Linked DNA regions of Struthio camelus. The protein of the gene in region 2 purifies or fractionates together with the protein of the main gene of each other region. This does not show direct contact. Links are inferred from orthologs where the notes say so. Each region holds a gene or a part of one and is shown on either strand. Other genes may lie near its edges.

Region 1 (3,742 bases), on a different chromosome or scaffold from region 2:
ACTACTGCAAGGAGAAACCCCGTGGTCTTGCGTCACACAGCTGACTCACAGGGATGTATTTTAACTTCCAGGGAAGTGGTAAGGGTGCACCACCTACCTCTATGACTAGTTGAGGGGCCAGGTCTTCAAGATATAAATTTTAAAAGTTTGGTCTTGTGGCAAGTTTTGGTCTTTTTTTCATTAAAGAATTTTGTTTCAAGTTAGCGTGATGGAAGATTCAAATTTGCCAATAAAGATACTTCATCTCCCTGAATTATTATGTGGCGAGAAAGTATTACCACATTTTGTCATGTTTTTGATTAATCTTTATTTGCCATGTAAGTGACCAAAAATTCCCTCCGAGTAGTGTTTCTCATTTTACACTGGGAAAAGAGTCTGAAAAAAGTTAAAAAATTAAAAAAACACCTAATCTGAGAGGCAATTATTTTAGAGATTTCCTCCTTTCAGGCAGGGTGATTTTTACATTGAAGCCAATGAGCCCGCGGGCGCCATCTAAACCTGATGATGTTAAACTAAACTGACTTTAACAAGTCTCTATGTATCTTTGGGTGAAAAGCAAGGAGAGACCACATGGAAACTCCCCTCTTTCTTATCCTATTTACTGGAGGAAGGTGCTAACCTTCTTCAGGGTCTAGGAGAGGCTGTTAAGTGCTTTGCTAACTGAATTACAGATCCCATTTACCTTTAACTCCTGCAAAGCTCCTCAGTTGCAACCGAAAGGCTTAAAAATATTATTTTAACTCTTCCTCTGCTGCGTTTAACGCCACTCCAGCACCCAGGCTAATATACCTTTAGGGAAGTAACGCTATGGCAGAGGGGACGGCTGAGCGCTTCCGACAACGACTGCCAGATGCAAGAAACACGAAATATCAGAAATCCCCATCCTTTTCGGTGAGGGTTACCGTCCCCCCCAATAACCTCGCGCCAGCAGCGCCCTCCAGCCTGTGACAACAGCTGGCAGCAAACTGTCTGCCTGTTTCTGCCGCGGCCGTTTCCCCTCCTCCCGCGGCAACCTCTCCATGTGCTGGAAACACGCATTTAAGCGGAGCGCTCCGCAGCGGCTAGAGGTCATCTGGGCTCCTGAAAGCACGACCGAGAAAAGACGGGTCAGGCTATTTTACTCCCCCCCCCCCCCCAAGCGACGCACAAAAGGGGAGCGGCGAGGAGCGCTTCCCCGGCGCAGGGCCGCTCCTTCCATGCGCAAAGGCGGGCGGCGGGCCGGGCCCAGGCGCTGGCCGCGGCCCTGCCCGGGCCGGGCGGGGGGGGGGTGGGGGCGAACCGCCCTTTTCTGCCCTTTGTCGTGCGGGGAGATAACTACCGGCCCACCGCGCCGGGCGGCAACGCGCCTCAGCTCGCCCGTGCTTTCTGAGGGGAAGGAGTACAAGTAAGTGAGGCCGCTTCCCCCCCCCGCGCGGGCGGGCGGGCGGGCGGGCGGACCGCGGCCCCCACAAACTCCCCTCACGTTATTTAACCCCGGGGCCGGTGCCGGTTCCCGCGGGGCGGGGCCGGGCCGGGCGGGGGCGGGGCCGGGCCGGGCGGGGGCGGGGCCGGGGCGGGGCGGCGGAGCCCGAGTAACAGCTGCGGCGGGAGCGATTTACAAACAGTGCCCCGAGCGCCAGCGCCGCCACTCCGGGCTCCGGCGGCACCGCGGGCGGCCGCCCTGCTTCCCTCCTCCTCCTCCTTCCTCCTCCTCCTCCTCCCTGCTGCCCCCACCTCAGGATGCCGGCCGGGCAGGCGGCTCAGGCGCAGGTGAGGGAGGGCGGGCTGAGGGTCGGCTCGGCTCGGCTCCCTCCGTGCGCAGCAGGCTGAGGGGGGGAGGGGGGGGCGCCCGCTGTGAGGGAGGTGGGGGGAGGCGTCCACCCCCCCCTTCCACCCCCCCCTTCCACCCCCCCCTTCCACCCCCCCCCCGGCCTTTCCCCTCAGAGCGGGGCCGCCCATCGCCGTGGTGTCCCGGCGCCGCTGCCCGCCCAAGGTGGGGGGGGGGGGAGCGGAGGAGGGAGGCAGGTGCGCGGGGGCGGCTGGGGAGGGGGCCAGGTGCGCGGTGCCCCGGCTCTTCCCTCCCGTCGCCTCCTCTGGGGGGCGCCTCAGCCGCCCCCCCCCCCCGGCCACCACCACCCCTCAGCCGGGGGGCGGGAAGGAGCCGCGGCAGGTAACGCGCCCCCCCTCCGGGGCTGGGGGCGCCTCTCCCCCCCCGCGGTGGAGCCCGCGCCGTGCCCGGCACCCCCCCCCCCCCCCCCCGCGAATAGGTGTCTCCAGCTCCCATTGTGCACCTGGGTTTTGGCTTTCAAACACACAAAACGGCGACTTTCTGGGGGGGGGTGCCTCTGCTTTATTTGTACACCCCCCCTCCCTCCGGGTAAGGGAGGGGGAGAAGCGGGAAGAGGCTATTTCTTTGTGAGTCTAAGATGTTCCTGGCGGAAGGACTGGTAGTAGGTGGCTCGTGCTTGGATTGGGGGGGGGGTTAATGAAAACTTTATTGATCCGCTTTGCCAGGTTTTGTTTCGTTTGTCTCCCTCTTCCAGAGCCCAAAGTCTTCCTGATCGTGTCTTTGGCATCGTGGTATCGTGTTTCTCTCTCTTTCTCTCTCTCTCTCTCTTTTTCTTTTATTTTTTTGTTTTTAAGGGCAATAGGAAGTTTAGAAAAACAAACAAATAAGCCTCAACTGACTCCAGCAGCAACAAAAGACGTTGCCAAGCGAGGACAATAAAATTCTAGAATACCTCGAGGTTGGGTTTCGGGCCCTTGTGCGCGGTGCCCGGCGGAGCGGCTGCGGTGGGTGCGCGAGGAGCGGGGGGGGGGCGGGTGTTTATTCCGCCCGCAGAAAACCTGCGGCCGGAGCGAGCCCTGGGCGGCGTGCGCCGAGCGCCCGGCCCGTCCCGCGCAGCCCAGCGCCCTCCCAGCCTCCCCGTAAGTATTTGGGTTGGAGCGTACTAGTTCTGAAGTGGTGGGGAACGAAAAATCTCTCTGCTGGGGTTATTGATCCGGTGATGAGAGGCGTTTGAATTTGAAAAGGGTTTAGTTTAGGGCTTTTGTGTGTTTAAAGTTTTTTTTTTTTTAAGCAACTTTTTTTTTTTTTTAATTCTGAAATGACCTTGAGAGCTTTGAAACTACACCAGTTTCTACCAGTGGGTTTGAGGGGGAGGCAGCAGCAGAAGGATCTAGTGAAAATCGAAAATAGAAATAGGAACTGAAGTAGATGCAGTGAAATGTTTTCTTATAGAACTATGTGAAAAGGGAAGTTTTTGTAAGAATGTGTGAAAAAGGAGAGAGGGAAATAACGCAGTTTCAGATGCAAGGGGAGAGAGAGCATATCATTCCTCACATTTTATTAGGCCCTGAAATGCAGGAGTGATATGATCTGGAAGACACAGAAATAAAACGCCTAACTGCAAGTTGAATAGCAGGCATTGACTTGCTGACCAGCGCTTACATGCGTGGTGGGGGCTGGTTTTTGTCTGCTAAGGTATCAGAGCACAGTGCTATGACAATGGCTTGCAAATGCTTTAACGCCATGTTTTATTGCTCTTATGAGCTCTCATTAACTGTAGGTTTGGGAATACGACTAATACTTTTAATTTGTGATGTCTTCACCAAGATTTAAGCCTTTCCTTGGATAATAGAAAGGGACAGTTTCAAATAAGTAGGATAAACTGCATTCTTTGGCAGAGGGGGAGGGAAGAGGGAAAGGGTGGAGGAGAGGGGTTTTTTTTCCTTCCCCTTTACTAGTTTTGTAACTGAGTCA
Region 2 (3,742 bases):
GAATACATGGAATACATGCTGTTTTCTCTGACATGATGGTTGCTTGGCCATCTGTTCCATTAGGCAAACCCTTCAACTTTGGCTACTAATGTCTGACAAACCTTCACCAATAATTCTCCACTGTAAAGACTGACCCAGTCTGAGCACAAAACTGTACCAAAGGAATCATCTCTTATTTAGGCTACATTAAATTAGCTACTCTCTTATCGAAGAGCACCATTGAGGATATTACCCATCAAAAATATGATGTGAATAAGATTTTTGGACATAAATATACACAACTTAGTAAATTACATGGAAAGGCACACATGTTCAATCACTACCAATGTTACACATGGGCCTAAAGAGTTAAAAAGTGCCAAGTTCAAGCAGTTTAGTAACATTAATGATATGGAATATTAAGCTAATATTTAGAAGGACATTTTCTATTTACAGACTATTTAAAATAGACTACGCAAATACAATATGAAGATCTTAAAATGCTACATAAGCACGCTGCAAAACACAGCACCAATTGAACTAAGTTTCCAGTCCTCCACTCAGTGAGATCAGGTAAACCATCCCCTGCACAGCACCCTCATGGAGTCAAAATCCTCCTTACACAAATCCTCTTGCAGAATCTGGCCCCAAGATCATGTCTAGGCATGAATGTCAAACCCAGGTGCAACTAATACAAATGATTTTACCAATATACTTTTAAACAAAGGCTTTGCACCTGGTGTGGGCTTGGCAAATTACATTTAGGCATACATTTGCTGATTATGGTCAATACCAGACAATGCTAGGGCAGCAATGCAGCTCAGAGTAAACACAAGTAGACAGTTTGCAGTCCAGATCTGAAGGGAACACTCAGCTACAGGAGTTCACGCATTTTCTTTTATTCACCATCAGCCCTTTGTGCCAGATACATGTTTTCAGTGCAACTGGCCCTATGTAAATTAGAAATGAACGTTACTAAATATTCTACAAACATGTCTTAGTTAAAGAAGCCTTGCTCTCTCAAACTATCAAAGTGTGTTGACCTTTCTGGAAATATCTGTGTTTCTTTTTCTACAGTCTTCTGCAGTCCAGAAGCAACATAGCCACAAAGTTTAGGAAAGACAACAAAAATATCACAGCTACTAGTGTATAAAGGTTTAGGGGTTTTCTTAAAGCCTTAACCCACAAAAGCACACTACCTAAAGCATAGCCCATCACCAAGGCGAGAACTTTCACGAGAAAGGGGAACTCTGTCGCTGGCTTCGACGACATCAGAAAGGAGGTCGCAGCGCTCCACGCGCGACCTCCGATCGGTACGTCACCCCTTCTGCGGTGCTGCGCTGCACACCCAGCACCTCCGCGGTCTCGCTCACACAGCGCCTTCCGTCTTACCCACCAAGGCGGTGAGAAACTCCGCGCAGGATGCCAAAGAGGAGGACGAAAGTCATGCGGTTTTGAACCCCCAAAACACCTCCCTCTCCACGTTAACTTTTATATCGACGCTCTGAGGATTAATACAAAACCTCATATGCCGGGTGCTGCAAAGAAGCCAACAGTTTCACGAGCGCTTTTATTCCCTCAGACACATAAAGTCGGGGCGGTCGGCAGGATCAGGCCCTTTCCACACACACCCAGCACCCTCACTTCTCCTTTAAACCAGTCCTTTTCATCCCGTGACCCGGCGACTCCTGGGGGAGCTGCGGACCCCTCTGAGGCACCGCACAGCTGTCACCGGGGCGAACGAGCAGCGTTAAGCCGGCCAGAGGCAGACCCACGACTCCATCCAAACACAGCCGGGAAACGGCCAAGCGAAAGCGGTTGGGGGGGGGGGGAGGTAGGTGAAAATCACTAATCTAAACCCATAACGCGGCGCGGCAGCTGCCGGTGGGGGCGGCTCCTCCGGTGGCCGCCGCCGCCTCCTCCCTCCTGAGGGGACCGCGGGAGGCGGCCCGGCCTCGCTCCCCGATGGCGACGGCCCGGGGGGCCGCCAACCCCCCTCGCCGCCCTCCAGGGAAGGCGCGACCAGCCCGGCTGCCGAGGCGGGCGGCGGAGGAAGAGGGAAGGGGGAGGAAGAGGGAGGAGGAGGAGGGGGGGGAGCCGCTCCCGCCCCGCTGCGCAAAGTTAGCGCCGGCCCGGCCCGGCCGCAGCCGGCGGGGGAGGGCGGCCCCTCGGGGCCTCCCCGCCGCGGAGGGCAGCGTTGGCTCCGCAGCGGGCTGGCGGAGGGAAACCGAGGCGGGCGGCTGCGAGCCGGGCAGAGGGAGCTGAGGGGAAGGGGACTCACGCTGTCTCCGCTATTTAAACCTCTTCCCGCCGCCTCCGCCTCACTGACTCTCACTCGCTCTCTCCTCCCCGCGGAACTTACTAGGGGCCGGCCCCCTCCCCTCCCCCCGGCCAATATACACACGGCCCGCACGCCCGGCCGCCGCCACCGCCGCCGCCCCGCCCGCTCGCCCCAACCGCGCCGCCCATTCGCTCGACTCCGTGCCCGTCAGCTGGGCTGCGCGAAACCATTGGCTCGGCCGCTTGCCTGTCAAGTGGCTCTGCGCATAGGCCCCGCCCCTCGTCCCGCCCCTCTCCTTCCCGGACACCTCGGGGGGTTGTTATAACGGCCGTTTTAAGTCACCATCGAAATTTACTTTTTAGGTCCCACCCACTTTGGGCTACAGGAGATTCTGATTGGGCCAGGGGAAAGCCTCTCCACCGCGGCTGGGCGGCTGCGCGTCAATCACCACTAAAAGTCCCGCCCGGAGGCATGGCGTCATCCCACTTGATTTGTCCGCGCTGCCGGTCGGTCCCGCCCATTTCCACAGCTTGCCCAATCAGGCGTGGCATCTCAAGCGCGGAGGCGGTGTCAAAGGAACGTGCAGAAGGCCCGCCGTCATTGGTTGGCGCCTGTCTGCCCCGCTGTCGCTCTTCCGCCACTACCGTCCCGTGGAGCGTACCACGCGGCGGGGGGGGTGGGGAGAGAGGAGAGGGGGGCGGGCCGGCGGCAGGAGCGAGCACCGTTGGTTCGGCCCGTCTCCATTAGGGATGGCGAGGAGGAAGGCCTTTATTGCCCGTCATGCCGCGCGCGCTGTAGGTAGCTCCCTTTGGTCCGGGCGGGGGGGGGGGCGGGGAAGGAGGGAGGAGGTTGATGCCTAGTCCAAGATGGCGGTGCAGGAATCAGCTGCTCAGCTCTCAATGACTTTGAAGGTGCAGGAGTATCCCACTCTCAAGGTGGGTGCCGAGCTTCTCCCCGCCGCCGCCACACGCACGGAGGAGAAGGGGCCGAGCCTCGGCCAGCGTCTCGGCGGGGCGGGAGCGGCGGCCTTGCCCCCCCCCCCCTCGTTCCCCCGCCCCGGCCGCTGCCCGGCTCAGGCGCCCCTCGGGGGGCGGCGGCGGGTCCCCACACGCACTTCTCCCGCCGCCCTCTGCCTCGCCGCCGGCCCTCGGGGCTCGCAGCGCCGCGGTTTGTGCCTCCCCCCGCCCCCTTCCCCCTGCGCCGTGGGTGAGGGACGTGCCTGGAATATGGTGCTGCTGCTGCTGCCGGGGGCCTCCGTGCCCTGAGGTGAGCGGGGAAGGCCCCGAGCCGCACCGGCCACAAAACCGGGGGTCACCGAGAGCCGGCGGAGCTGCTCGGGGTTGGGGGGAGAGGGCAAGTCACGGCTGAGCTGGGGTGACAGGGCGAGGTGAGGGGTGAGGATGGAGTCCGGCTGGGGCAGGGGGTGTAGGGGCGTGTGAATCACGGTTTCTCAGCCCGAGGGTTGCTCTAAATGCTCGTCCC
Region 3 (3,742 bases), on a different chromosome or scaffold from region 2:
AGGGATCCGGCAGCGTGCGGGCTTGCGGCGGACCCGTGCTGGGGCGGGGGTTATTCAGGGATACGATTTCATCAGGCGGGCACAAACTCAGCAGAGCAGAAGAGCAGCTGCCCCGGGTGCAGGGGTCCTGCCCCAGCGGAGCTCGGAGCGGGGCCGCCGCACAGGTGCAGCGCGGCTGCGGGCGGCCGGGCCCCGCACGCCGGCCCCGCTCTGCCGCGCCGCCGGGCCGCGCTCCGCACACCGCTCCTCAGCAGCCTGCCTTCCAAAAGTGTGGGAGAGAGAAAGATTTTACCTCGTCTTCTCCCTTATTTTTGCAGCCGAGCATTTAGAAAATTAACTGGCTACTCCCAGCGTGGCTTCTTTTGTTTTTTCTGATTTTTTTTTGGGGGGGAGGGGATCCTTTAAATTATTTTTTCAATTTTACACAGAGGCTAAGAAATTGCGCTCTTCAGGTATTCTCCCTTAATTGCAAGCAAAAAGCTTTCCTGAATACTAGCGAAAAATCACACAATCGGGGCGTTTTTTACTTCACGCACAAAGAAGTAAAAGTGAAATAATAAAAGAATTGCATTTGATCCCAATTTATATGATTTTCCATGTAATAGCGTGAAGGCTACAAAACATTTTCTATTCACAGCCCAGAAAGAACGAATTGAAAAACTGAAAACTTTTCTTGCTGAACGACTAAATTCCAGGGTCGCCTACAACCCTCCTTCCACTTGCCATGAAACTGAGACGCTCTTCAGGGGAAAAGAAACAGTGTTTCAAAATACAAAAATCCCAGCTTTTTAAATATGATTTCCTTTATGAGCGGATTGTAACTGAAGGATTATATAATGCAACGCATCTGTCTGGGGGAAACTGCTGTTGCAGCAGCGAAAGCCAAGACATGCAGCCCAAAGAAGAAACTTTTTTTTTGTGTAAATGGCCAAATCTATCCCTGCAGAGCAGCGGCAGCAAGAGCAGCCTTGCAACGTTATACATGAAAGAAAAGGAAGGGAAAGAAAAGAAATCCTGACGGTTTGGTAGGGGACGTGTCACTCTTTTTACATAATTAGCCCAAAAGTAAGGTTGGCAACCTGGAGATTTAATAACATATTTGTATTCAAATCGCCTTGCGCTGGATTATCCACTTTTAAATCACCTAATCAAATGCAGGTTGTTGCTGTTATTGTTAAGCTTCAAAGAAAAGCTGATGATGATCCAGAGATATTTTGCTTCCCCTTTTCCACGCTGCTCTATTTTTTCCCTTAACAAATAAAGAGTAAATAAGCATCTGCTTTTTACGTCACGCAACTTATGCAACATTTCATCTGACTTTTTTTTTGCCTGCCCATTTTTTCAGTCGAGAATGTAAGCTGCAATCGGCATGAATTTCAAGCGAAGCTTGCCCAGATGTGTCAGTGAAAATAAAGACATCAGCTGCTTTTAAAATAGGACGCGAAAGCTGGCGAAGTTTTGTTGTTGCTTCCCTCTTTTTTAAAAACACTGCTGCAGTTAAAAGCAAAGATCCCTATCATAAAGGAGAAACAGATGGAGTGAGCGTAAGACAAATAATTAAATAAATCGGCATTTGCGTGTCGATGGCTGAGACCTAGCCTAGCAGAATAGAGACCTTTGGGCGGCCAAACTGTATAAAAAGTGCTGGAAAGGCGCCTGAAATTACAACATTTAGATCAACTTTTAACGGGTGACTCCAGCAGGCTGGGAACTGCTCCGCGGTGTCCGGCGGCCCCGCTCCCCCCGGCGCGGCCCCTTCCACGCGTCCACCCGGCGCATCCCGGCGGAGCGGGGCGGCGGCGGGCGGCTCCCGCTGGCCCCGCTGCCCCGCGCCCGGCCCCGCCGCCGGCCCCTCCCGCGGGGGCCGCCCCGGCTCCGCGCTGCGACCGCACCGCTCCGCGCTGCGCTGACAGCGCCTGCGGGGCTGCGCGCTGGGGACCACCAGGGCTCCCCCGTGCACAGCCTCCTTGCAGCACAGCGGGCTCCCCACGCGTGCGCCGCTCCCGTGTCCGCTTTGGCTTGATTTTACCCGGCTACGCATATATAAACATATATATTGTTTTTTAATATTTTTCTGGCACAAGCCGGCAGCCGACCAGCCCTCGAGGCGGGCAGGGCCAGGGGGGTCCCCGCGAGCTCTGCACCGGCAACTTGTTCCCGAGACTCGCCGCCTTCCCCCGCAGCCTGGAGCAGACCTGCCGCTGGCTCCCCCCTCCCCACCCTCCCGTGTGCATGGATGTACACACACACACACATATACACACACACGCACACACACACACACACACACACGGCCCCCAGCCCTTGCAGACAGCCGACAGCGCCCACTATAGGGCCCGGAGCCTCTCGCAACCCCCCCTTCGACCCCCCCCTCCAGCCCCCGGCAGCAGCAGCAACTTCCAGCGCTCGCCACTGAACTTTTCCTCAACTCCTTCCCCACCTCCCGCCGGGCGCCCCGCAGCCCCCAGGCCGGCTCCCGGCGGCCGTGGCCCTCGGCCCCCCGCGCCCGGGATGCTCCGCCGCCCGCCGGGACGGCTCCGGGGCTAAGGCCGGGGCCGGGCCGGGCCGGGGATGCGGCAGGTTGCCTGCGAGCTCCGCGGCGCATCAGACATATCATGCAACATGGCAGAGAGCGAGGGTGAAAAGCCAAGAGAAAGGGGTATTGCACCTACTTGCGGCCAGCTTCCTTGCCCTGCCTTTGGATCGCATGCTGCCAGTCCCGCGGCCGATGCTGGCGGGGGGGCCTTTTTTTTTTTCCTCCTGGAGCTTTTCCTCCTTTTTCGCTCCCCCTCTCCCTCTCTCCTCTCCCTCTCCCGCACACACACTCTCCCTTTCTCTCAATCCCGGCTCGCTATCTCTCCAGCATTGTCAGTTTGGACACCTTCGCACATGCGCACGGGCGGCTCCCCCCCGCTCTTCAACATTTCAGCGCCGCCAAAAAAAGTTTGCAGCGATCCATCACCGCCGGTGGGGACCCTGACAGCCGGCACCGGGGCCGGGCCGCGCCGGGGCCGCCGCGCCTGCTCCCCCGGCGCCGCCCGCCGCCCCGCCGGCGCACGGGGCGCGCTGCGCCAGCGGCCCCTGCCCCGTGCCGCGGGGAGCCGCCACCGAGAGCGCGGCCGCGGCGCGGGGGTGCTGCCGCCGCGGCGGGCAGCGCGCTCCGCGTGCCGGCGCGCCCGCGAGTCTTTACAGCGGGAGAAGTCTCTTTTGCTCCCGCCGTGGCAAGAGTAGGAGAGTGGAATAAATTACGCTTTCTTGCTGGCTTTTTATATAATATTAATGCTGCTCTGGCGTCTTTGCAACATTTAAGTAGTGTATTCTCATCCGGCCGCAATTATCATAGATCTCTGCGTATATATAGACGGGGAGATATAGTTTGATTATGTATGCATATCATTAAATTGTACACTTCTCCAGCGCACCCACTTTCCCCACCTTGAACTCGGCTCAGCTACCACCAGTTGGGCAGAAAAAGTGCTTTTAAAACAGTAACACCGACCGCTCTAATCTGTTTTAATTACAGGGCTTGCCAATCAAAGAGAGAGCGTGCTGAAATTGGGAACTCCTTTAGGGGATGGCTGTGTCCGAGGTATGAATCAATCCAAACTACATATAGATTTTCCTCTGGTACAACCTCCTTGCATTAAACAGTTTTGTTCAATACCTTCCATGCGCTATTTATGTTCCCATTAATATCTGTTGCAAATCCTGCCAGACACCATAAAAGAAAATTACAATCTTT

What was found.
Region 1: the proteins of CTBP1 (region 2) and ZNF217 purify together in Homo sapiens (affinity purification with mass spectrometry; 10 studies listed by BioGRID and IntAct, counting the BioPlex papers as one, with this or other methods). This does not show direct contact. The link is inferred for Struthio camelus from reciprocal best matches to the Homo sapiens genes CTBP1 and ZNF217.
Region 3: the proteins of CTBP1 (region 2) and MECOM purify together in Homo sapiens (affinity purification with mass spectrometry; 6 studies listed by BioGRID and IntAct, counting the BioPlex papers as one, with this or other methods). This does not show direct contact. The link is inferred for Struthio camelus from reciprocal best matches to the Homo sapiens genes CTBP1 and MECOM.

The regions. Positions count from the first base shown.
Region 1 is NC_090959.1:11,537,150-11,540,891, reverse strand, and holds the start of ZNF217 (zinc finger protein 217), read left to right. Parts: upstream 1-949; 5' UTR 950-1,106; intron 1,107-1,271; exon of another isoform or gene 1,272-1,384; intron 1,385-1,543; exon of another isoform or gene 1,544-1,749; intron 1,750-1,926; exon of another isoform or gene 1,927-1,972; intron 1,973-2,794; exon of another isoform or gene 2,795-2,907; intron 2,908-3,742.
Region 2 is NC_090945.1:79,522,989-79,526,730, reverse strand, and holds the start of CTBP1 (C-terminal-binding protein 1), read right to left. Parts: upstream 2,369-3,742; 5' UTR 2,261-2,368; intron 1-2,260. Other genes in the region: E3 ubiquitin-protein transferase MAEA, read left to right, coding at 3,127-3,195. UniProt on the Homo sapiens protein: Corepressor targeting diverse transcription regulators such as GLIS2 or BCL6. Has dehydrogenase activity. Involved in controlling the equilibrium between tubular and stacked structures in the Golgi complex.
Region 3 is NC_090950.1:28,166,176-28,169,917, reverse strand, and holds the start of MECOM (histone-lysine N-methyltransferase MECOM), read right to left. Parts: upstream 2,892-3,742; 5' UTR 2,710-2,891; coding exon 2,673-2,709; exon of another isoform or gene 2,669-2,672; intron 1-2,668.